Astyanax mexicanus: one gene and its partners. The protein of the gene in region 3 interacts with the protein of the main gene of each other region in a pairwise test. Links are inferred from orthologs where the notes say so. Each region holds a gene or a part of one and is shown on either strand. Other genes may lie near its edges.

What was found. The genes of interacting proteins can lie anywhere in the genome.
Region 1: the proteins of bend7 (region 3) and usp20 interact in binary tests that used the Homo sapiens proteins (3 or more experiments, as listed by UniProt). The two-hybrid records come from large-scale screens. The link is inferred for Astyanax mexicanus from reciprocal best matches to the Homo sapiens genes BEND7 and USP20.
Region 2: the proteins of bend7 (region 3) and nkapd1 interact in binary tests that used the Homo sapiens proteins (3 or more experiments, as listed by UniProt). The two-hybrid records come from large-scale screens. The link is inferred for Astyanax mexicanus from reciprocal best matches to the Homo sapiens genes BEND7 and NKAPD1.

Annotation. Positions count from the first base shown.
Region 1 is NC_064408.1:16,875,297-16,883,025, reverse strand, and holds the start of usp20 (ubiquitin carboxyl-terminal hydrolase 20), read left to right. Parts: upstream 1-4,727; 5' UTR 4,728-4,870; intron 4,871-7,729. Other genes in the region: c1h9orf78 (telomere length and silencing protein 1 homolog), read right to left, coding at 403-600, 699-776, 902-972, 1,848-1,899, 2,024-2,083, 3,493-3,575.
Region 2 is NC_064425.1:3,339,481-3,347,407, reverse strand, and holds the start of nkapd1 (NKAP domain containing 1), read left to right. Parts: upstream 1-4,925; 5' UTR 4,926-5,033; intron 5,034-6,656; 5' UTR 6,657-6,663; coding exon 6,664-6,732; intron 6,733-7,174; coding exon 7,175-7,278; intron 7,279-7,382; coding exon 7,383-7,535; intron 7,536-7,927.
Region 3 is NC_064416.1:15,392,795-15,399,635, forward strand, and holds the start of bend7 (BEN domain-containing protein 7), read right to left. Parts: upstream 3,019-6,841; 5' UTR 2,705-3,018; coding exon 2,641-2,704; intron 1,179-2,640; coding exon 1,104-1,178; intron 937-1,103; coding exon 661-936; intron 1-660. Other genes in the region: prpf18 (pre-mRNA-splicing factor 18), read left to right, coding at 4,844-4,909, 6,046-6,123.

The sequences.
Region 1 (7,729 bases), on a different chromosome or scaffold from region 3:
CCTTGATGTTCTTTGTGATGGGAACCGTGGTGCTGAATGTTCTTAATCTGTAGATTATCTGCTTTAGAAGGAGAGACATTTCAGCAGTTGTTTTTTCACCTCTTCTAGCTTGATGTGCTTCAAAAACTCTTTTTTCTGTGTGTGCAGGAATGTTCTCTGTTTGATGCATGATACACTTCCAAAATCAAGACTTGAATGAGAGTGAGGACCAACGTTTATGTTCTTGTAACAAACCTTGTAACCATTTCAGTTATATTATACTTTTTACTCTTAAAGGTTGCCAAACTTTTTCAACAAATATGTAATGTTGGATCATTTTACTATAAAATATTTAGCTTTTTTTTATTCTTTTTTCCAGATCAATTAAGTCCTTAAAATAGGAAACCATTCATTTGCACTTACTCAATTCCCAAGTCCACCTCTGGAATGCCACTAAGCATCTGATTGGACAACATCTCTTCTGTTTTTTTGGCAGAATTAACACGGATGCTCTCTGGCAGCTCATACAGGAGGTCCTCTGCATTCTTTGCCTTGATCTTCTGCTCTTCTGCCTCCACTAAACCCTTCTTTTTCTTCAGCTCTGTTTCAATGTACTTCATCCTGAATGGCAGGGAAACAAGCAATGTGTTTGACAAAGAAACAAACAATGAAGAAAGCATTAGATGTGATATAATGCATATACAGGTGTGCATACATACATATCTGCATCTTCATCTCTTCTGTTGGTCTCTGCAGAGAAGGAGGTTCCCAGGTTCAGGTCATTTTCATCCTCAATTCTGGAATGCATACATAGGATAAATTATATATATATAATCTTGTGCACACACATATGTTCACAGTAATAAAATCTACTAACCAAGACAGGCTATTTGATACTATTTTTGATACATTTTAGACTTACTTGTCTCTGTTTCTGTCTTTCACTTTCTTCATGTCCACAACACCTCCTGTCTTGAGCTTAAATGGATCATCCTAGAATAAAGAAGATTAACAACATTAGTTTCCAATAAACTTCTGTACATTTAATCAATTCCGCATTCAGTATAAAATTTATTTATGTATACTAGCTATGTAATAGAACATGAATAAATACTATAAAAATCAAGCAGCATTACACATTGTATTGTAACCACTAGCATGTTAGCTAAAACATGTGGCTAAAAGATAAGGTCTCTGGGAGAACATTTACATTACAATACACAATTACAGGATTTTGTTCAAAAATTGTACTCCTACAATGTTAAAAGATTCTAATAAATATTTAAAATGTTTCTAATAAAAATAACTTGATATAAACAGATCTGCCATAACAATAACTAACAACTCCACACAACCTTAGATGCTCTGAGGTGGAACCTCCATCAATCACATCAATGAACCTTACGTGTCTATGACCCTGTTGCCAGCTCTCTGGATGTCTGCAATGTAATGGCCACTGCATACTATAAAATCTGAGGTTTTTGAGATGTTTAAACCCAGTCATCTAGCCAGCACAACTACCATAGTGAACCCTAAAGATCTTAGTGAAAGTGGCTCAGATCCTTAGCCTTCTCATTTCCTTCTGGTTTTAACACATTAACTGTGAGAACTAACTGTTCTTACCCATCAAAGATGCTACTGTGGATGACAATCGATATTGATGAACTGAGATGTTCTGCTGCAGTTCTTTAAGGCACTTTAAGGCACTTTCAGGCATTTGAGAGGCTTGGGCTTTGATTTGAGTCTTTATTTCAACACAACAGGTGTTGGGATACTCTATTTGTTTCAAACACTGCCACATTCGCAACTAAAGTCTAAAGTCTGTAAATCCATAATTTACACATGTAAAAATGCACATGCAAGCTTACCTCAACCTCTGCTTCCAGCGGTAACTTTTCTCCCACAAGCAATGCTGTCAAACTGTGGAGAAGGATATAAAACATGGTCTAGAAAGCTAGGTTCCCACTGTAGTCATAATATCAAACAATAACGACAATCACAAACAATTAATAGTAGATAAAGGTTATCTTAAACACTTGCATACCTCACGCCACTCTGTCTCTTCCGCAAACTCTGAAGTTCTTTTGCTTCATCCAGTTTCGCCCTGCGGATTTAGTCGTAAGCACAAGATTAGCTCAGACTGCAGACTCTTCAGATATAGAGTAGCAGATTTTAAAGGAAGCTTTAAACCCAACAGCGTGACTCTGACTGTCAGCATTCTTTCCTAAGGGTACTCTCTCAGGTGAGCCTAAATCTAGGGTGCTTGCTGACACTGCTGAACAACATAATCCATTAAATGTACACCACTTCTCCTGTCCCATTTTACTCAGTGAAGATGAGTAGCTAAAGCTACATCCGGTACTCTGCCAGAAGACATTTTAGCCTGAAATGCAATCTTAACCATGCGCCGTAACAAGTTCAAGGTATGTACATGCAGTAGAATTTCGAATTTGAGATATGATTTATAACATGTTTAACAGTAATAGTATCAGACTTACATATTAATAACCATATAATCTATCTAGGGTTTTAGTAACTAAAAACATTGTTACTGCTTTATAAAACTAGAATTTTTGTAATATTATAGATTTTTAGAAAGGAAAATGTGCCATTTCTTAACTTCATCCATTACTTAAAAAAACACTTATTATATTTTATTGTCCTGGGTCATTGTCCTGTTGCAAGACCCATGACCTGCGACTAAGACCAAGCTTTCTGACACTGGGCAGCATATTTCTCTCTATAATCTTTTGATAGTCTTTAAATTTTATTGTACCCCGCACAGAATCAAGACACCTTGTGCCAGATGCAGCAAAGAAGCCCCAGAACATAACAGAGCCTCCACCATGTTTCACAGTAGGGACAGTCTTTTCTTGATATGCTTCATTTGTCCATTTTAAACAAAGAGCTAATGTGCCTTGGCAAATTTTTTTTTTTCTGTCCATAGTATATCCCACGTCCAAAACATTTAACATGCTTCTGTATATGTATATATATATATTTTTATTTCCTGAGAGAAACTCTTTCCTTCGCTTTCTCTGGTCCATGTTGTGTGGTACACACCATGTCACCAAACAGCACAGTGACCTGTAGCCCTATATTTGGCCCACTACATTGTAAGTTTAATATTAAAGATATTTAAGTTACACATAAACATAGGCTGAATTATTTTGTAAAAAGAAGTTAATTTTATAAACAAACACAATATGTTTTATACTTTAGATTCTTCTAAGTACCACATTTAGCTTTTAGATTTACTAGATAGCAGGAAGCTAGTTTAACTTAGACATCTTAAATACTCTTAAATTACAAAATATATTTTAGCTATATAATGCCGATCTGTACTTAATATTCCCAAAGAGTCAGCAAAACGCAGCTCTATCTACAGTTAAGAATTGTTGTTAGCTTTTTATGCTAGGTTAGCTACCCTAGCTTAAGTTAGTTAACTCGCTAGTTCTCGAGCTAACGTTAACCAAACGTTTGTTTACAGTGTAGATCCAGCCGATAGCCCACCTGACTTCAGATGTGACCTCGTTGGATTCCTCTTCATCTGAAGACTCTTCTTTTCTTCTTCGGAAGCTTCTCCCCGCTGGCATGATCACCTTTATACTAATTATCTCACAGCTAACTGTGTAACTAAAGCCGCTACTGCTGCTGGTGTTACTAACTGTACTAACCCTCCGCCCGCTTCACTCCGCAAACCTGCCCCGCGAAAACTCGTTCCCACTCAGATTTGTGTTCCTACCTAAACAACAGCAGCAGCATGAAAATTCAAACTTTGCATATATTACTTTTACCTTTTTGTTATCATATTTGATACAGCTTGATTACTTACTAGCAAATCTAGAACATATATTTGTTTAACCATGAAATGTCTTTAAACTTCACTTTAGTAATTCTAAAGGTATATATTGTTATTACTTATATATTGTCTAAGAATTATTTAGGATTGATTTATTTATTATTATACTATCCTGTAAATGTTGTTTTGTTTAAGTCATTTGTTTGGTTGAATTTCATTATATTTAGTTTTATGACATTAGTTTTGGAGTTCATGTCTAGTTTGGATGTTCTTGGACATTTGGACAGAAACATTAAATGTAAATAACTGTTAATCGTAAATATGTAAATGTAATTGACTGTATTTTAATGTAGTTTGTATTTAGATACACACATACATACATACATACGTATATTAATTTATTTATTTACAAATATATATATATATATTTATTTAATGTAATTTGTACAAAATATGGAAATATCCCTGATTGCATTGTAATGTAATTAGAATGTACACTATTTAATCAAATATATATATAGTTAACTATCATAGCTAAATAACAGTGTGCAGTATATATATTATATTATATTGCATTATTTTGTAATTTGTATTTACATTATTTAATTAAATATATAAATATATACATTCATTAATTATAAAAAAAATTGTTGTTTGTAATATTTTGTAGTTATTTTTATTGGGATGTCGTTAACATTATATGTGCATAACTGCTAATCGTGTACACATAATATGTTATTGATTGTATTGTAGTGTAATTTGTATTTACATTAATTAATTAAGTAATTAAATAAATCAGTAAATACATTTATAAATTAAAAATAATGTTGTAGTTCTTTTATTTATTTTTTATTTGTATTCATTAGTCACGAAATAAAATAATAAAATAAGTAAAGGAAAATAAATAATGAATAGTGTGGGATTGTTGTTGTGGGGGGGAGGCGGAGCTGCCTGGCTCTGCTCTGTGCTCTCTGTGCTAGTCTCTGTTAGCCTGCTGGCTAGCGCAGTGAGATCCTCAGGAGATCGGGAGATTTTCATTTAGACGGAAAATGAACACATTTCAGCCTTTATCCTGGACGCGCTGAGGAGGTAAAGGCTGTATTTAACGCTCCACCTGGATTAATATGGATGTCATTGTGTGTTTTAATGCGTTTTCATGTTTATTTAGCTAGGCTAGCTGAGTCTCTGTGTAATAGGTAACGGTGAGAGAGAGAGGGGTAACGTTAGTTAAATGGCCTCGGCTATGTTCAGACTGAGCTGAGAAAGGTTTATGAGGTTTTATGTGAATATTGTTGATGTATAATTGATCTAAAACACTGTAATTATCCATATTTAACATTATGGTTGAAGCAGTGATGTTGGTTGAGTCAGAATTAGCTAACTTACGTTATATTCCCAGTGGCTGTGCTGTAGGTACTTTGTATAGATATATAGCTATATTGGCTTTATCTTTATTTTTGTGACCATGTAGTCTGAATGTGGCGTATTCAATCAAATTCACAGCGCAGTTCAGCCCTGAGAACCGGGCTGTTTTGTAAAGGTGAAGAACAGCTGCTTGTGTTGAGCTCATGGCTGCTTGGAGGACGTAGTTATCCGTGCCAGGCGAATGAAGCAGCAGTTTGTGTTTTTGTGTGGATTTTTTTTATGTGTGTGTGTGTGTGTACGTGTGTACCTTGTGTTTTATCTTATTTATAAAATTCTAAACACACACACACACACGATTTGCTTTAGTACTTTAGTTACTAGTCTTGTTTTTTGCATTGGCTAAACAATAAGCATCCCCCACACAACACAGAGCTTATAACCATATTCAAAATAAACACTCACAAAATATATATTTTGTGATTACATCTTTTACCCACAACAACATCTTATGCAAAAATTGTATTTCAATTAGGGCTCAGCAAATTGGACCAAAAATAATACCTCAATATTTTTTCAGTGAATGACGATATACAATATATATCTTGATTTTATTGAATCCCATAAGGTAATAACACAAAGACACTTCTGAGACAAAGCTACATTACTCACCATTAGTAAATTTAGCATTCCATTTGGAAATCAAGGGACCAGAGTCCAAAGGAAGAGTGGAGAAGCACTCTGGTAGTTACAGTCATATGAAAAAGTTTGGGCACCCCTATTAATCTTAATCATTTTTAGTTCTAAATATTTGGGTGTTTGCAAAAGCCATTTCAGTTTGATATATCTAATAACTGATGGACACCGTTCTGATGGACACAGTTCTTACCAAGAACTGTCCCTATGGTCTTCCATTTCCTTACTATGTTCCTCACAGTGGAAACTGACAGGTTAAATCTCTGAGACAACTTTTTGTATACTTCCCCTGAACAACTATGTTGAACAATCTTTGTTTTTAGATCATTTGAGAGCTGTTTTGATGAGCCCATGATGCCAATCTTCAGAGGAGATTCAAATAGGAGAACAACTTGCAATTGGCCACCTTAAATACCTTTTCTCATGATTGGATTCACCTGGCTATGAAGTTAAAAGCTCAATGAGGTTACCAAACCAATATTGTACTTCAGTAAGTCAGTAAAAAGTAGTTAGGAGTATTCAAATCAATAAAATGATAAGGGTGCCCATACTTTTGCACCGGTCAAATTTTGGTTTAATGCATATTGCACATTTTCTGTTAGTACAATAAACCTAATTTCAATCCTATATTATTATATAATATAATATTACTGTGTCCATCAGTTCTTATATATATCAAACTGAAATGGCTGTTGCAAACTTTAGAACTAAAAATGATTAAGATTAATAGGGGTGCCCAAATCATCAACAACTGAAAGGCAAGTTATATTACACAGATTCATTGTAAACAACAGCCTTTTCAAATAACAGTTTTCTTCCACAGTTAAAGTATCCCAAAAAGAAGAGACACAAAAAGTTCAGTGTGCTCTTTGAAAAAAGTAAATCTAAAGTTAAAAAAGAGGCTCTCCAGTAAGAAGTACAAAAAAGGGCATGGCAAAATAATTGCGACTAATCAACTAATCGAAAAAATAATCGTCAGATTAGTCGACTAGTAAAATAGTCATTAGTTTCAGCCCTACTGCACAGCAATGCACAAAGCAATGTCAAGACATGGATGATTGAGTTTGGTGTGGAAGAACTTGACTGGCCTATAGAGTCCTGATCTCAAACCGATAAAATATCTTTCGAATGAAGTGTGGAGACTGCGAGTCAGGCCTTCTCATCCAACATCAGTGTCTGACCTTCCAAATGCTCTTCTGGAAGAATGATCAAAAAATCCCGTAAACACACTCCTAAACCTTGTGAAAAGCCTTCCTAAAAGATCTAAAGCTGTTATAGCTGCACAGTGTGGGCCAACATCATATTAAACCCTCTGGATTAACAAAGGGATGTCACTAAAATTCATATACATGCGAAGGCAGGCAAGTACCGGTAAATACTTTTGTCATTATAGTGTATATACCATAAAACCACTACAGTATGAATGTTTCACTTATTAAGCTGCAAAAATGTATTTCATTTTGCCTTACATGACATTGCACATACTGTGATATGACTACTGTGCATACCCGCATGGTGATGATGATGTTGAAATGTTATGTTGGTGTAGCGGTGTGCATGTCCAGCCTAGGAATCAAACCCCACATTTCAGTCACAGGGAGGGTGGTGATGTTATGCCACACCACCATAAGGTCTCTATAGTCCTATATTTAAAAAATTGGAAACTTGTTGGTTGAAGTTGTTAGGTTGTGTTATGTTTTGATTTAGTAAGTTTTAATAAGCTAAATACTGTACAGCAAACTTATTTATTTATTGTACTTGAAAATTGGGCAAGAAAATAAATGTATAGCATACTGTCACATACATGATACAAATAGAAACGAGATGCTTTAATGACTTTCTGATCACAATAATGAGATAATAATAAGATCTAATGTGCAAGAATAATCT
Region 2 (7,927 bases), on a different chromosome or scaffold from region 3:
TTTATCAGAGGGCTCCTTGTTCTTTACCATCTGCCAGCAAAAAATAAATAAAAAAATAAGAGATTGTGAGTAATGATTGGGTTCGTCCAAAATGCAAGCGTTTTTTAAGAAGCAGTGAGGTTTGAAGGGATGTGGATTGAGGACAGAGAGACTAAAACTATGTCCTCAGATGTCCTCAGTACCCACATGTTATAACTTGCTTGTTACAACTGTTATATATTGCAGTTTCTGCATTCATCCGTACACTCTTTACTTTAATTCAGGTAGGCTTTGAAAAAGTACAAATACTCACTTTTTCCCTGAGACAATGAATTTATTGTGTACACCCTGGTAAAGAAAATATATACTTAATTGTACTTTAAACATATTGAAAAAACATATTATGTACTTATTTAAAATATATTAAAAGTACATTATTATTATGCTTTCATCAAATGTGCGAAAAAAAAAAAACTTCGATCATACTTTTTAAAAAGTACAATATAACAATATGTATTTAAAATAAAATAGACTAATATGAAGTGCACTTTTAGTTTAATGTAATTCAATATACTTCTTAAATACTTATTTCCAAATATACTTTTGTACATTTTTAGCAAAGTTTGTTAAAAACATCTGTTACAGTAGTTAATACTTAATACAATGTATCATGTGACTTTTTAGAAAGCAAATTAAATTACTACTACTAGTTAAAAAAAGGAAAAGAAAAGTATATTTTAAAAGTATACTTAACATAGTGTCACGGAAATGGGGGTGACCCAGGCAGGGTGACGAGGAAAGCGGACACAAGTGCAGGTAAGGGCGAAATAAATAAATAATTTATTAAATAAATAACAAAGAAACAAGGAAACGAGGAACAAGTAAACATGAAACAAAGAAACACAAATAACCAATAACAAACGAGCGATGATATAATCTAGAAAATAAATAAGGAAATAAACTATAAACGTGAAAACAAGAAATAAACGAGAAACAAATGACTAAGGTTATATACAGGGAACATAGAGCTAAACAAGAAACTAAACTAGACAAGGAGAACTAAACTAAGCAGGGCAAGGGAGAAAACAATGGAAATAAACAGGAAACCAGAAATATACACGAGATAAACAGAGGTAAACACAGAGCAAGGACTTGGGCTATGAAACGCGGTGAAACAACAGAGAGACAAAACAACAGGGGAAGGTGCAAAGACCAACGGAGACAAAGTGGCAGTGGAGGGCTATTTAAAGAAACAGGAAACACTATAATTAGAAACACCTGGGGAAGGGGCGGAGCAACAAATGAGAAACAGGTGGAAAAGTACTGAGACGGGAGACACAGAGGAGCACAGGTCACGTGGGGAAGACACACAGAGACACGAGACGAGACCAGGATGTGACACATAGAAAAGTATATACTTTTTATATATTCACTTAAATACATACTAAATCTGCTATTTTAGAAAAACTTATGGCAACTAACTGTAAGTATATTTCAGTTGTAATTAAGATGTATTTAAACACAACATAAAAGCATTTGATTGTGCTTTTTTGGTATAACTTCTGCTTCTGATGCACTTTAATGTGTGCACGTTAATGCTACTGGGAAAAAAGTGCATTTTAAGCAGTATTTAATGCCACTATATATATTTTCTATCAACACAAAGCAATTTCCTTAGAAATACATTTTATGGAAATACAGAGAAAGTATATTACATTGAAAATGCACTTTTAGTATTCTTTACCTAATTTGAATATATTTTTAATGCTCTTAAGTATACTTCCTTTTTACAAATCACTTTAAGATGAATTATCTAAAACAACAAAGAATGAATCATTTAATTAATTAAATTAATATTTTATATTTACCCACATATTCTTTCCATCTCTAAAACTGAAAGTAATGTTTTTGTCTTTTGCACGGCCAGTTTCCACACGCAGAAATCTCCAATTTGCTGAATATGACGCTGGTGGTCTGCCAGGCTTGGGCTGCATTCTTCAGGACGGATCTTTTATCTTAAGTCTGATCTTCAACTCTCCTCTTTATCATACAATAAGGTGATGGATTTTTCATAAAAGTCCCCTAGATCTGGAATTTTTTCTAGTCAGTGTTAGGAGACAGATACAGTCTGAGTTAAATCTCAGAGTTAAATAAATCTAAGTTAAATATTTTCCATGAATAGCTTTCTCTTTAGTTAAAAGGTGCTGTGGGATTTTATGGATTTAGAGTATTAAATAAAATAACTGTGTTGTTTTAGTCGCTCTCCCACTCCCTCACACTCACATTCCCAGAAATCACCATGCCTTGTGATGGAGACACACTTATCACAGCCTGATAATACATCTTGAGATATATCGTACGAAAAGGTGAATATAGATACTGTGCATATTTTAAGATGTCTTAAAAGACATCCCAAATTGCAAAAGTTGATTTCAGGGAGGTTACCCCCCCCCCCACCACCACCACCCCAAAAAAACAAAACAAAAAAACTTGCACACACACCAAAGGATAACGAAACTTTACTTTTATATTAATTAATTTTACTAAATTAAATTTAGAGTATTCAGAGGTGAAATGAGATTTATCTTTTTTCTTTTTGGAAGGCCCTGCCTCTGCTTTCCTTTTTTTTTTCTTTGGAAAAAAAGCCTTTATTTGACAAAAATTGACAGTTACAATATCACAAAAAAACTGCACAACATCAAAAATATTTCATATCATATTAGAATAATTATTAATATTGCCTCCGCCATGATCTGCTTTCTCTCACTCACTGAACAAATCCCGTCCGGGAGGGGGGGAAAAACACTGCCCGCCCACACTAAAAACTGATTGGCTGTCTCACAGACTCTTTGCAGAGAACAGGCCAATCAGAACCCTCTCTGTTTTCTCTCTCTCCTTCTCACGCGATTAGAGAAAAAAAGTCTGTCACCTGTGTGCGACAGTATCTTTGTAACAAGAGCTCCCCCTCCTGATTTCAACAGGTACTGTATATTTAATGCTTTGTTAAGTTCTGTTCCTTGTTATAATAGTGCTCTTTATAATTACCTGGACTTGTGTATTGGTGAATTGGTGAACAGGGCACGGTTTCAGCCACAGCTTGTGTTTTGTGATGTGAGCTTTCTGATTGTGAATTAATAAAGTTATTTATTATTTCCATGTGCAAGGAAGCAAGAAGGTAAATACAGAAAGAAGGTCCTGTGTTCTGTACTAGTGAATTTCTGTGCAGTTTAAAGGTCTCTTCCCACCAAAATCCACTTTTTGAAGAAAAGAAAAGCCTGTATCTCTGAAAACATTTTCTCCTTTGAGTTTTAGAGCTGTAAAATTGACTGTTGGGGAGGCAGGAAGGCGTTCTCTGCTGCAGTGCAGTTAGCCAATCAGAGGCAATGTATTTGCATGCATGAATATTCATGAGCAAGAGCCAAAACCTGTTTCAGTGTCTAAACCAGGGCTAAATAGAAACACCAAAAGAACAGCTCACATGGCATTCATTAATACTAGAGACCACAACTATAGAAGGCATTACGTTTAACTTTACATTTAAGGCATTTATCAAACTCCCTTACCCAGAGCGACTTAGAAAAGTACTTATTTTTTACTTTGCAAATATCCTTAGCTAGTTGGTACAGGCTACAGTCAAAAAGATATGCCAAACTAGAAGCTGCTAAATAAATCCTGCTAAAAAAAATCCAGTTCAAGGCCAGCCAGCTGGTCATCCAGAAAAAAACAAATCCTTTGCTGGTTGGTTTACTCGTTTACTAACGTTTTCTGGATGATCAGCTGGTCTTGAGCTGGATCTTTAAGTCTTTAAGTCCAGGTTTGAGGCATCTATTTTATCCATATTATGGCAAAAACTTAAAATATATATTTATCCAGCTTTTAGTAATATTTGCATAATCCTAATTATATATTAGTTATGTCCTACAACAAACACATTAACACATTATCACATTTTAATATCTTTGCTATGATTTAAATTGTAATTTGTCCCTTTTTTCCAGTTTTATGTTACATTTTTTTACATTAGCTGTTTTTTATGGTTTGTATGTTTTCTTGCTAACAGAATGATTACAGGTTATTTTCTCATGTTTCATACAAACGCATTAGCAAAAATCACCCTTCAAAGATTTTGATATTGTTTCATCAACAACAATCAACATATTCTCACAGTTTTAAGACATTTGCTCTCCTTAACTGAACGGTACATTCAGATTAATGCTTAGACTGCCCTGGTGAATAAAAAATACCTCCTTAATTGTACCTAAAACATATTGAGAAATGTCTAAGAATGCTGTAAATATACTTACAGATTTATGTACTTACTTAAAATATATTAAAAGTATGTCAATGTTATGCTTTCATCAAATGCTTGAAAGCATTTATTTGAATAAATAGACTACTATAAAGTACACCTTTAGTTTAATGTAATTCTAAAATACTTATGTCCAAATATAGTTTTGTACATTTTTAGCAAAGTGTGTTAAAAAAAACAACTGGTACAGTAATTTACTTAAAGTACAGTGAATCATGTAACTTTTTAGAAAGTAAATTAAATTAGTACATTGGTAAATTAAAAGTTTTTCAGTGCTCTGTGATTGTAATAAGGAAAATATAAATATAAGTAAATTATAGAAAAAGTCTGAAATTTCAAGAAATTTGAAAATATCCTCAAGTGCAGTCACAAAGATCACCAAAAACATTATGATGAAACTGGCACTCACAAGGAATGACACAAGGAAGACCAAGAGTTACCTCTGTTACACAGGATAAATGTTTTTATTTTTTATGCAATTATATTATCATTATATCAGTGGAAGTTAACTGGTCTTAAAATTACAATAATATTGTTTATCGCAATAATAATTGGGATGATATATCGGCCACAAAAAATCATATTGTGTGTTATGTCTGTAGTAGCCAGTAGGTTCCAGTAGGTGTCAGTAGGTGGCAGTATAGAGTCTGTGATTGGGGGAGGAGAGCAGTAGAAGAAGAGCTGTGGGTTGTTGTGAGGAGAGAGAGGAAGACGCCACGTTCACACTACTGAACCGGTTTTAAAGGTAATATAAACCCGCAGGCAGGTTTATAATGTGTATGTGGCGGTGTGTATCTGTGTAACTGGGTGTTTTAATATTGATTTCGGTGTAAATTAAAGCTTAACGAGCTGCTGGTTTAGCAGTAGAGGTAGAAATAGTGTGGGCTAACAGGCTAACTTAGCTTAGCACTGTCAGATCTGCTCAATACTGCAGTACTGTAATAGTAAACAAAGAGCTTCAAATTATATAAGTCATCTAGCTTTAAACCTGGTTATTTAATAAGTGTATTTGCTAGTTTTACAGTTAAAAAGACAGTATTAAAGGTCCTGTTCGTTCTGCACACTTTGATAGCTAGCTAGCATTAGTTTAATTAGATTTAGCTTCTATATAACAGTTGTCTACCTAACCTAGATAGATAGAAAGCTAGTTTATTGAAAATCTGTTAAGAGTAAATGAAGAGAAAATGAAACAGAGCTGTTGAGTCTTCTGTCTTTTATTTTTTTATATAAAGAGCTGGAAATATTATTCAGTAAAGTTTCTTGGAGTGGGATCAATACTAGTCAACAGCAGCTCGTTGACAGTCACGTGTTTTTAATATGCAAAACGTCACCAAGCCGCCATATTTGAGGTATAGTTTCTGTGATCTGTACAGTGAAAATAGTAGAAGTCAACTTGCTTTTATAATCTTTAGAGGATTTAAAGAAATAAAACTGAAGAGACAGAAGTTTAAAAAATAAGAAAATAGTGCCTCCATGTAATTTTGCTTTGGATTAATCTGTTAAATCTGTTAACAACACTGATAAATATGACTTAATTACAACAAGCTGAAATGCTTATTCTGCTGCATCCAGTATTGTAATATTGTAATATTCTGGATATTACAGATTTTATCTTATTTACACCTATAAACACTTCTGAAACTACACTTAAATAATAAAACCCACAGCCTTTCATTTCATGAATCCAGGAAAATATCATTTAAAAGATGTGTACTAAAATCATTGAGTACTTTAATTAAAATAATAAAGAATATATTTTTTATCTTATTTGGACATTTTTTTGAGTATCTTTACAAAGTAAAATATATATCATATATAACATATAATAAAAATTATTATATCAGTGGGACTGATGTGTAATATATTAATATAGAGCAACATATTTCAACAATTAATGTAAAAAATGTCTTAGTTATGTAGTTACTCTTTAAAACATGTTTAAGTAGCCTATAATCTCCTGAAAATAAACTTGCATGCATGTTTGAGTATCTTCTTTAATAGTTTTGCAATGTTAGGTAAATAAAGCTGCAGCTATATACATTTTTCTAGCGTTGTAGGAGATTTAAAATATTTACACATCTGTTACTGACTGATGTTTGTTACAGGGAGCTTGTAAGTTTTTGCTAGTTATTCATTCCTTTTTTTTTGCTTCTCAGCGGAAATTAATTTAAATTGTAGTCTTTGTAGAATAAAAAATAAATAAATTGATGATTAATGTGATTGATTTAGAGGAATTGCAGGGTAAATTCAGCATGGCATTTAACACAAAATCAACCTCAACGTTACATCACCTGTGAGTGACCGATTTTCTATATAAAATTCAGAATGTAGTGTAGTTTGGCACTAGTCATTTGTTCTGTATTTTTAGGGTTACCATGTCGAGAGTTCCTATGGGTAAAGTGTTGCTCCGAAATGTCATCAGACACACAGATGCCCACAACAAGGTATGTTTGCATTTCTCAGAGTCTCACTTATATTATCATTTGGCATTTGATTATGCATTGACATGCCGTGTGTCCTGGGACATGGTTCTAGTATTGTGTCCCATGAAATTTGCCATGTCCAATGAAAGTTAAAGAACACTGCACTGGCCTTTGGGATATGCATATAGGGCTGCAATTAATGACTATTTTAGTAATCGACTAATCTGACGATTATTTGATGTAAAAAGTCTGCACAACTTCAGAAGTGGAACGTCCCATCCATCTGTCACTCACTGTTAGGCTTTGCCTGAACTACGATAATTAATAGGACAATAATACAGTGATAAAGCTCACTAACAAGATAACATCTCACAACTTGTACGGTAAAATATAGCAATTTACGTATTGCAACAACAGACTATTAAATAATGTTTAATGTTTTTTTTTTTTTATCTTCCTGCAGATTCAGGAGGAGTCTGAGATGTGGAAGCTTCGGGACATGGAGAAACAGTCCTCTTCTTCTCAGGCCTCCAAGCCCAGATGGATGACCAGCAGCCATTTGTCCAGGTTTACGTCTGCTTCGTCTCTCACCACAGCGCTTATTTCTTTCAGTGTCTGCTGTTGTATTTGATGTCCGTTTCTCTAGATGACCACATGCCATGCTTTCACAGGAGCAGCATGCACTGTGACAGAGACATGGATGACTCAGAAGGATCAGCACGAGACAGGCTTGGTGAGAAGGGAGGTCTGTCTGAAAGAGACGAGCGAGAGGCTCGGTACTGGAGCCGGAAACTGTACGAGTTTGAAGCAAATGATCCAGACAGGTACATCAGAAGTAGTGTTTCAGATATAACTGGGGCTGAACATATTGATTATTTTAGTAATCGAGTACTCTACTGAAAAATTGATTTGATTATTCGAGTAAACGGATAAAACATATTTGCTTGCCTAAAAAGCAATAAAAAAAACACAAGAGAAAACAAGACATTTTACTTAATAATGAATGACCAATTGGTTTAATTTTTAACATACATTCACAACATACATTTCCACACTGCAAACACAAATAGAAATAAATAAAACACAAAATAGACATAAATACCACAAGTAATACTTTAATCATTAATAAATAAATACATTCAGTTTCATTAATTCAAGTATTAAATATATGGCATTAATCAATAATAACAGCATAATAATTGGCTTTATGTTGTAA
Region 3 (6,841 bases):
CAGCCATGCTTGAAAAAAATTGCTTTTACGAATTGCTGATTAGTTATTAGTATTTGTTTTACAAAACTAATAAAAACATATTGCTCAGAGAAAGAGCTTTAAAATCTAATTTTCAAAGGTGCCACATTTTGCACCATGCTCTGCTGTTTGTATGCATCTCTCAATCTGAAGACTCTGTTGAACAAACCCAAGAAGTAAATTGTATCTCAGTGTGTCTAGCTTGGTGATAACAGCACAGTACGTTCTTGTTCTTGGTTTACTAGAGATGTGGACATGAACACACTGTTATGTACCGGGTTGGGAGATGCCAACTGACCAAAATGGGATTTCTGATTCTGCAAATGTCTTAGACATTCCTGTTAGCGGTATTTGGTCTATATAGTGATTTAAATACCATTCTGTAAAATAATGTCTACTTAACTAATTACTTAAGTAAACATATTAATTTTCAGATACATTTTTTATAAATCTTTTGATCCTATATGTACAATTTGGACCCTATGTTGATTTTAGAAAACTTCCCATGATTAAAACTTGTGCAACACATTTTTTATGTTTAGATTTTAGATGTTTAGATGTTGTGACTCATTCCGTGTCAGAACTGTAACCCACGCCTGTAATATTACTCATTACTGGTGAAACAGAGTGATTCTGATTCACCTCTGCTTTTGGAGTTGTTGAGTATCTTCTGGGTTTTGGAACGAGTGTCGTACTGACTGTGGGACATGGGTGGAGCTGAGCTCCAGCAGTGCTGGGGTTCCTCAGGGGCTTGGTTCTGAGGTAAAGTCCAGCTCAGAGCCTCCTCCTGGGGTTCCTCTTTGACAGCCTCCCCCTCTCTTTCTACTCGCTGGTACCCTCGCCCAGACTTGTCACTCAACAGCCGCATCATACCTGTGATCTGCTTTTTAATTTCCGTACCCTCGTCACCTAGCCAGGCTGGAAGAGAAATAGTTAACACAAAGGTGGTAAAATAATATTACAACACAAACAATGTGTACAATGTGTAAGTGTACGTTTAGTTTAGTTCTAAATGCTGTATAATTACCCTATATACGTAAAAACAGCATGTAGTTATAAATAAAAAGCAATATCGGGAACAGTACCTTCATTCTCTGATATGTCCAGTGGTTCACTGTCTGTGTCATCATGGTCAGGGCTGTCAAATCCAGGCCCATAGTCTGTGGGAAATGTTTCTTTATTAATTTACTATGTTAAACATAAGTTTAGTTCACTATACACAGGTTCAGGAAACTCTAAATGCTAAAAGGATGAAACTGTGCTTGAACATCTCCATAAAAGCTTCATAACTTCATTACACAGATTCTTGAACGTTTGATTCATTTTACTGAACCAATTCTTTCGAACTGAATCTTTCAATGGAGCAAATGTTTCAACGAATCATTGATTCACCCGTAGATTTGAAGTTTTTGTTCTCATCCAATTGAGAAGAACAGAGAAAAGATCTGCACACTTTTAGTATTTTAATCTCAGTGTCTTCATGAGGGAGAGTCACCTGGAATAGTTTTCTCAGTGTCTTGAAGGATTTTCTGGGGGTGCTAAACAATAGCTGCTGCTTTTCCTGCTGTGAAGCTCCAACTCATCTCAAATCTCCTATCTCAGTTGGCCAAACACTTTTTTGATTTTACAACATAATTCCATAGTGTCCCTTATTGTTTTTATGTCTCTAACATTAAGCTACAATGTAGAAAATAAATAAGTAAAGACAAACTTTGAATGAGAAAGTGTGTCCAAACTCCAAATGTTTGACTGATACTGTATCAAAACATAAAAATATTATTTAGATTTCTTAAAGCATTTCCTTGATTTACTAAGTTTAATCAATTGTTTAATAACTTGTTTCCTTGGTTAAACTAAATCATCCTTTCTAAACTGAGGGAATCGTTTAAGAAATATAGAGAACAGTCTATCAGACTATGTCTGTAAATATTCGTTTTTCTACTTTAGACCGTTTAGGGTTCTGTCATTTTACCTATACCAGCACTCTGTAAAAAAAAAACTAAACTTAAAATTGTTCTCCTTAATGTAATTTTTATGCCAGATGAACAAGAAATATTGAATTGCACTTTTTTATTCAGTTTATGACCTATAATACATGGAGCGGAATAAGTTTAAGTATTATTCCTTGCTATAAGATGCTTCTGCAGACCTTTCATTTCTGACATGCAATAAAACGTTGATTCAGTTCGAATCGGTTCGGGGAATTCAGAGAAAAAAGAACCGAATCAGAAGAACGACTCGGTGTCTCGTGCGCACCTGTAAGCAGCCGGGAGAGAGAAAGAAAAACGGCGAGATTAAAACGGCTCAGTCCGGAGAGTCACATCATAATCTCTCCTGGTGAACCGGTCAGACATGCCGGTACCACCCGGGAGACGGAAGCTTGGAAGCGCGCGCGCATCTCCAATAGCAACAGCATCAGCATCACTTCAGCAGCATCAGCATCACTTCAGCACAGACGTGTTTTTTTTTTCATGCTAGTGGTCATGCAGTTAATGTGCAGCTCTCTCTCTCACTCTCTCTCTCTCATGCCCCCCCCCCCCCCCCCCCTCCCTCCCTCTCCTATTGTCTGCTTGTTGCTGGCTGGCTGTCTGCGCCCCTGCTGCGCTCATTAAACCTCCTTACCTTGCTCGCTGACCAGTTTAAAGCTCGGAGATTTTCTGCTCCGTCTCCTCTCCCCAAACTCCATTGTACCGGAGACAGAGCGGACCGTGCGCGCGCGGCGGTACCGGAGTCGCCCTGTTCATCAGCAGCAGCAGTGGCGGCGGCGGCAGTGGCGGTGGCGGCGGCGGTGGCAGCAGCAGCAGCCCTGCAGGGACCGACCGTGGTCCGTCTGCTTAATCAGTAAAAACTCATCAGAGCGGCCACAGCTCCCGTCTACCGCCTCCCTGCCCGGCCACAGCTCCCCAAAGCCCGTCAGAGGCGCGTCTGAGCTCGGGGCATCGCGCTCTCCGCGCTGGCGTCCATTCAGGGCCGCTCGTTTGTGATGTAAATAAATAAATCAGTTAATTCTTTAAAAAAATCGTCACATCTAGTCCTTTGCGCCACCTGATGGTAGCTAATATTTTGTGGGGCTCAAATAGTAATGTCCAGATCCACTCTGCTGGACAAGTACCACTTTTACACAAAAAAACTAAGTTTTCTCTTAAGTTTGATCCATTTTCGACCTCACATGGATATCGATTATCTAACAAATTAATCCATCTCACAATTCAAATTCCACTTCCATTATCCTTTTTAAACAGGTCAGTGTTGGTGTGATTAATGGGATGCATTGTATAGGCAATAGAAAAAAGACTGTAAAGCTATAATGATCATGGTCTTTTAAATAAATAATTACACAGTGTGTCCAGGGAAGCATTTAGTATATGAAACATATAAGACTGATATCTCCAGCTGGGGTATCTTCTTGCAACATACCTGGGTCGACTGTTGTAGGCTACTAAAACAGCCCACAAGTGACCACCAGTCAGGCAGTTTTAACTTAGTTTGTACCACATGTGATGTATTACCCAACCGCATGTAGTTACACACAGAACCAAAAGAGGGCGCTGCACTGCGCTTTCTCCAATCAATAATGGTATCTCTGTGAATGGTTTTAAAACTCCAGCTACTTTTTAAATTTAGGACAACATAATTATATAAATATAAGCTTTCTATTTGACATAATAAACTAAATGGTTAATAGATTTTAATAGTTTTAAAATGTTTTAGGATTTAAAATCCTAGTACTGCAACAGTAAAAAGAAAAATATGGTTTGTTTATTTGTTTAAATATCTGTTGGTAATCCGTCACCATCCTGCTTTCTTTTTGATAAAAGAGACATCCAACCACCTTACATCGAACCCAAGACTTATAACTAATAAATATTAATATGTGATAAAAACAGGAGATCTGCTATCCTTTTGTCATCTAGAATATAAACACTGATTTCACACAAATGTCACTTTTTTCAAAGATAAATGGAAATATATATATAAAAAAATACAAATAATCACAGTTGCATATAATCACTGCCAAGCATAAACCAGCGCTTAAATGTGAACTGATTGCAACCATCTTTCGAAAATATTTTTTTTTCAAACGATTCAAATCACTTTTAAAAAATATTTAATCTTTTTGAAAATCGATTGGAATCACTTTTCAAAAATGTTTTTCATTTATGTTTGCAAAAGATATTCAAAAGAGAAAACTAAAGCCTTCTAATGTGGATGTTAGCTATTTTTTATATTCATAAATGTAAAATTAAAAAGAGCTTTCCACTCTCTATGCTTTTTAAAATTGAAATAAAGAAGCATATGCCAACTTTTGTATTGTATGTTTACTGTTCAGGGATGGTTTATGAAATGAAAAGCTCAATAGAAATAAAAAAGTATTAAATATTTTAGTTAATAGAATTTATTTGCTATATAGATTTAATAGTAGAATATTACTAATATTATTTATTTTAGTGCATAACGGACAAAAACAGCATTCTTACATTTTTTCCATTACTGGAAATAATTCAGATCTGAAAATAGCTAATTTTAGACCTAACCTTTGACTGTAAATTGGTAATGTGTGCTGTAATAAAATACAACTGTATTTTAAGTGTGTATTAACTTTTGTCTGGAACTGTACATCAGATAAAGAAAATGTGTTAATGATAAAAACGTGTAGCAGGGTTGTGTCTGTAATTCCAGTGGGAGTCGCCAGAGAGCGCCACCGCGTTCTGCGGCCCCCAACACAGGCAGGAACTCACCGGATACAACTTCCACAACAGTCTGGGAGCTGTAGGATTCAAAATCAGCGTGTTTAGCGAAAACCCGCTACTCTGCGCTCATAAACATGGATATCCTAAAAGCCGAGATCGCGAGGAAGAGGAAGCTGATGGAGGAGAAACAGCTGGTTGATGTGAGTGATGAAAACAAGCTCTTTATTCACGGTGGTAGCGCTGGAGTTTTCCATACGGCGGCTGTGCTCCAATCTGAGCTGCATCTGTCTGTGGCGTGTTGTCCAGCTAGCTAACCTGGCTAGCTAGCTGATTGGTTCCTTTTTAAATTAATGTTAGCTATCAGCGCTGAACACTCACATTGTTACTCCTGCGAGTGCGAGAAAGTCTGGACTAAGAGGCTACCAGTTGCTATTTAGCACATTAGCTAGCTAGCGTTAGCATGCTGCACACTACGTTGTTCACTAGATTCAACTACACTTGGTAGCTACTGCACTAGGGTTAGAGTTCTAAACCCACTCACAGCCCGTTAGTTCTACTCAGTTGTTCAGAAAACGCATATAAAATGATGTGTCCCAGTACGCATTTGGTATGCTATCAGTATCTAGTACATATGATTAGATTTAACTCATACTAGACCTACGATTTTTCTAGAATGCACTAGATACGTGTAGCCTACTATGTAGTGGATACACAACGCGGATTGGAACGCACCCGGCGATTTTGTTGTTTTCCAGCTGATGTAAAAGCCAAAGAACGAGATCTAATTAAACATTTATGTTCAACACGAGGTCACCTTAGGAGCTACTTTAAAAAGTCCAGCTAATGTTTATATTGTTTAAAATTAATCAAGAATGGACGTTAAGCAAGGATTTAGATTTATTTACATTAAACATATTACTAAATATATTAAAACTATATTAACAAGTGTAATAGAGAGGAGGATTATGAGCTCAGACAGTTGTATCATGTACAGCTGTTTTTATGGATTAAGGCTGCAACTAATGAGAGTCGACTAATTTGATGATTTGATAACTTGGTTTGTCCCGATTAGATCCAGTTAGGGTTTGGCCTAGTTAAATCTGGTTAGAATGGTTGTTTGTTTAATATCTGTCTTTGGCCCTTTTAGAGACGGTTAGACAAGGTTGGTTTGATAACTGATAGAAATGATAGAAACAGTTGACAGATTTAATCCATTTTAAATGCCCAGAAGTCATTTTAATATTAAATGATCTGATATTTATTGAGTGTTTATTTTGTTGTGTCTATCACTAACCCAAACATGTCATAATAACACTTTACCCTTCTACTTTTTTAGAGCTCAAAGAAGTACTTTAAGCGTGCTGATCTAGCCCGAAAGGAGGAAGAAGAATACTACAAAAGATGTGGCTACAAGGTTAGTGAACACTCAGCATTACTGATCTCTTACTAAATTCTCACAAATAACAGCTAATAATCATTTACTAGAGGTGATGTCTATTTCTGGTTCTGACTTTGGTCAGATACTCTGACTTACATTCTTAAAACTATAGGTGCTTCAGGTGGGTTTTTGTGTGATGCCATTGTAAAACAATGTTTATGTAGAAGTTTTTGATATGAAGGTTTTTACTGGATTATCGATGATTTACACTCATATATTTGAATTAAAAACATACACTTTATGGACAAGAGTACAACATTATTGGGACACACTTTTAATTATTGAATTCAGGGGTATAAAAGCAAGTACCTTGATATACCTAGACATGCAGTTGTCATTTACAGACATTTGTAAAAATAATTAATTAACAAACCCCATAGATAAATAGTTAGATTTTGATAATAGTAGTATTATGTCCTAAAAGTATTCTATATACTGTGAAGCGTTAATGCTTTTTGTATGACTCTTTTTTTTTTGCAGTTTATGTGCATTAATAAATATTCAGCACTTTAGTATTGTGGTACATTACATTGTTCGTATGTTACATTATTTTGTTATATTATTATTTCACACAAAATCAGACTCATGGTAAGTTCTACGGTATGTTTAAAGTGTTACACTATACTACACTACACTATACTAACAGTATAATTTTGATGTTTTGCAGTAGAACATTTTTTAAATTAATAAAATG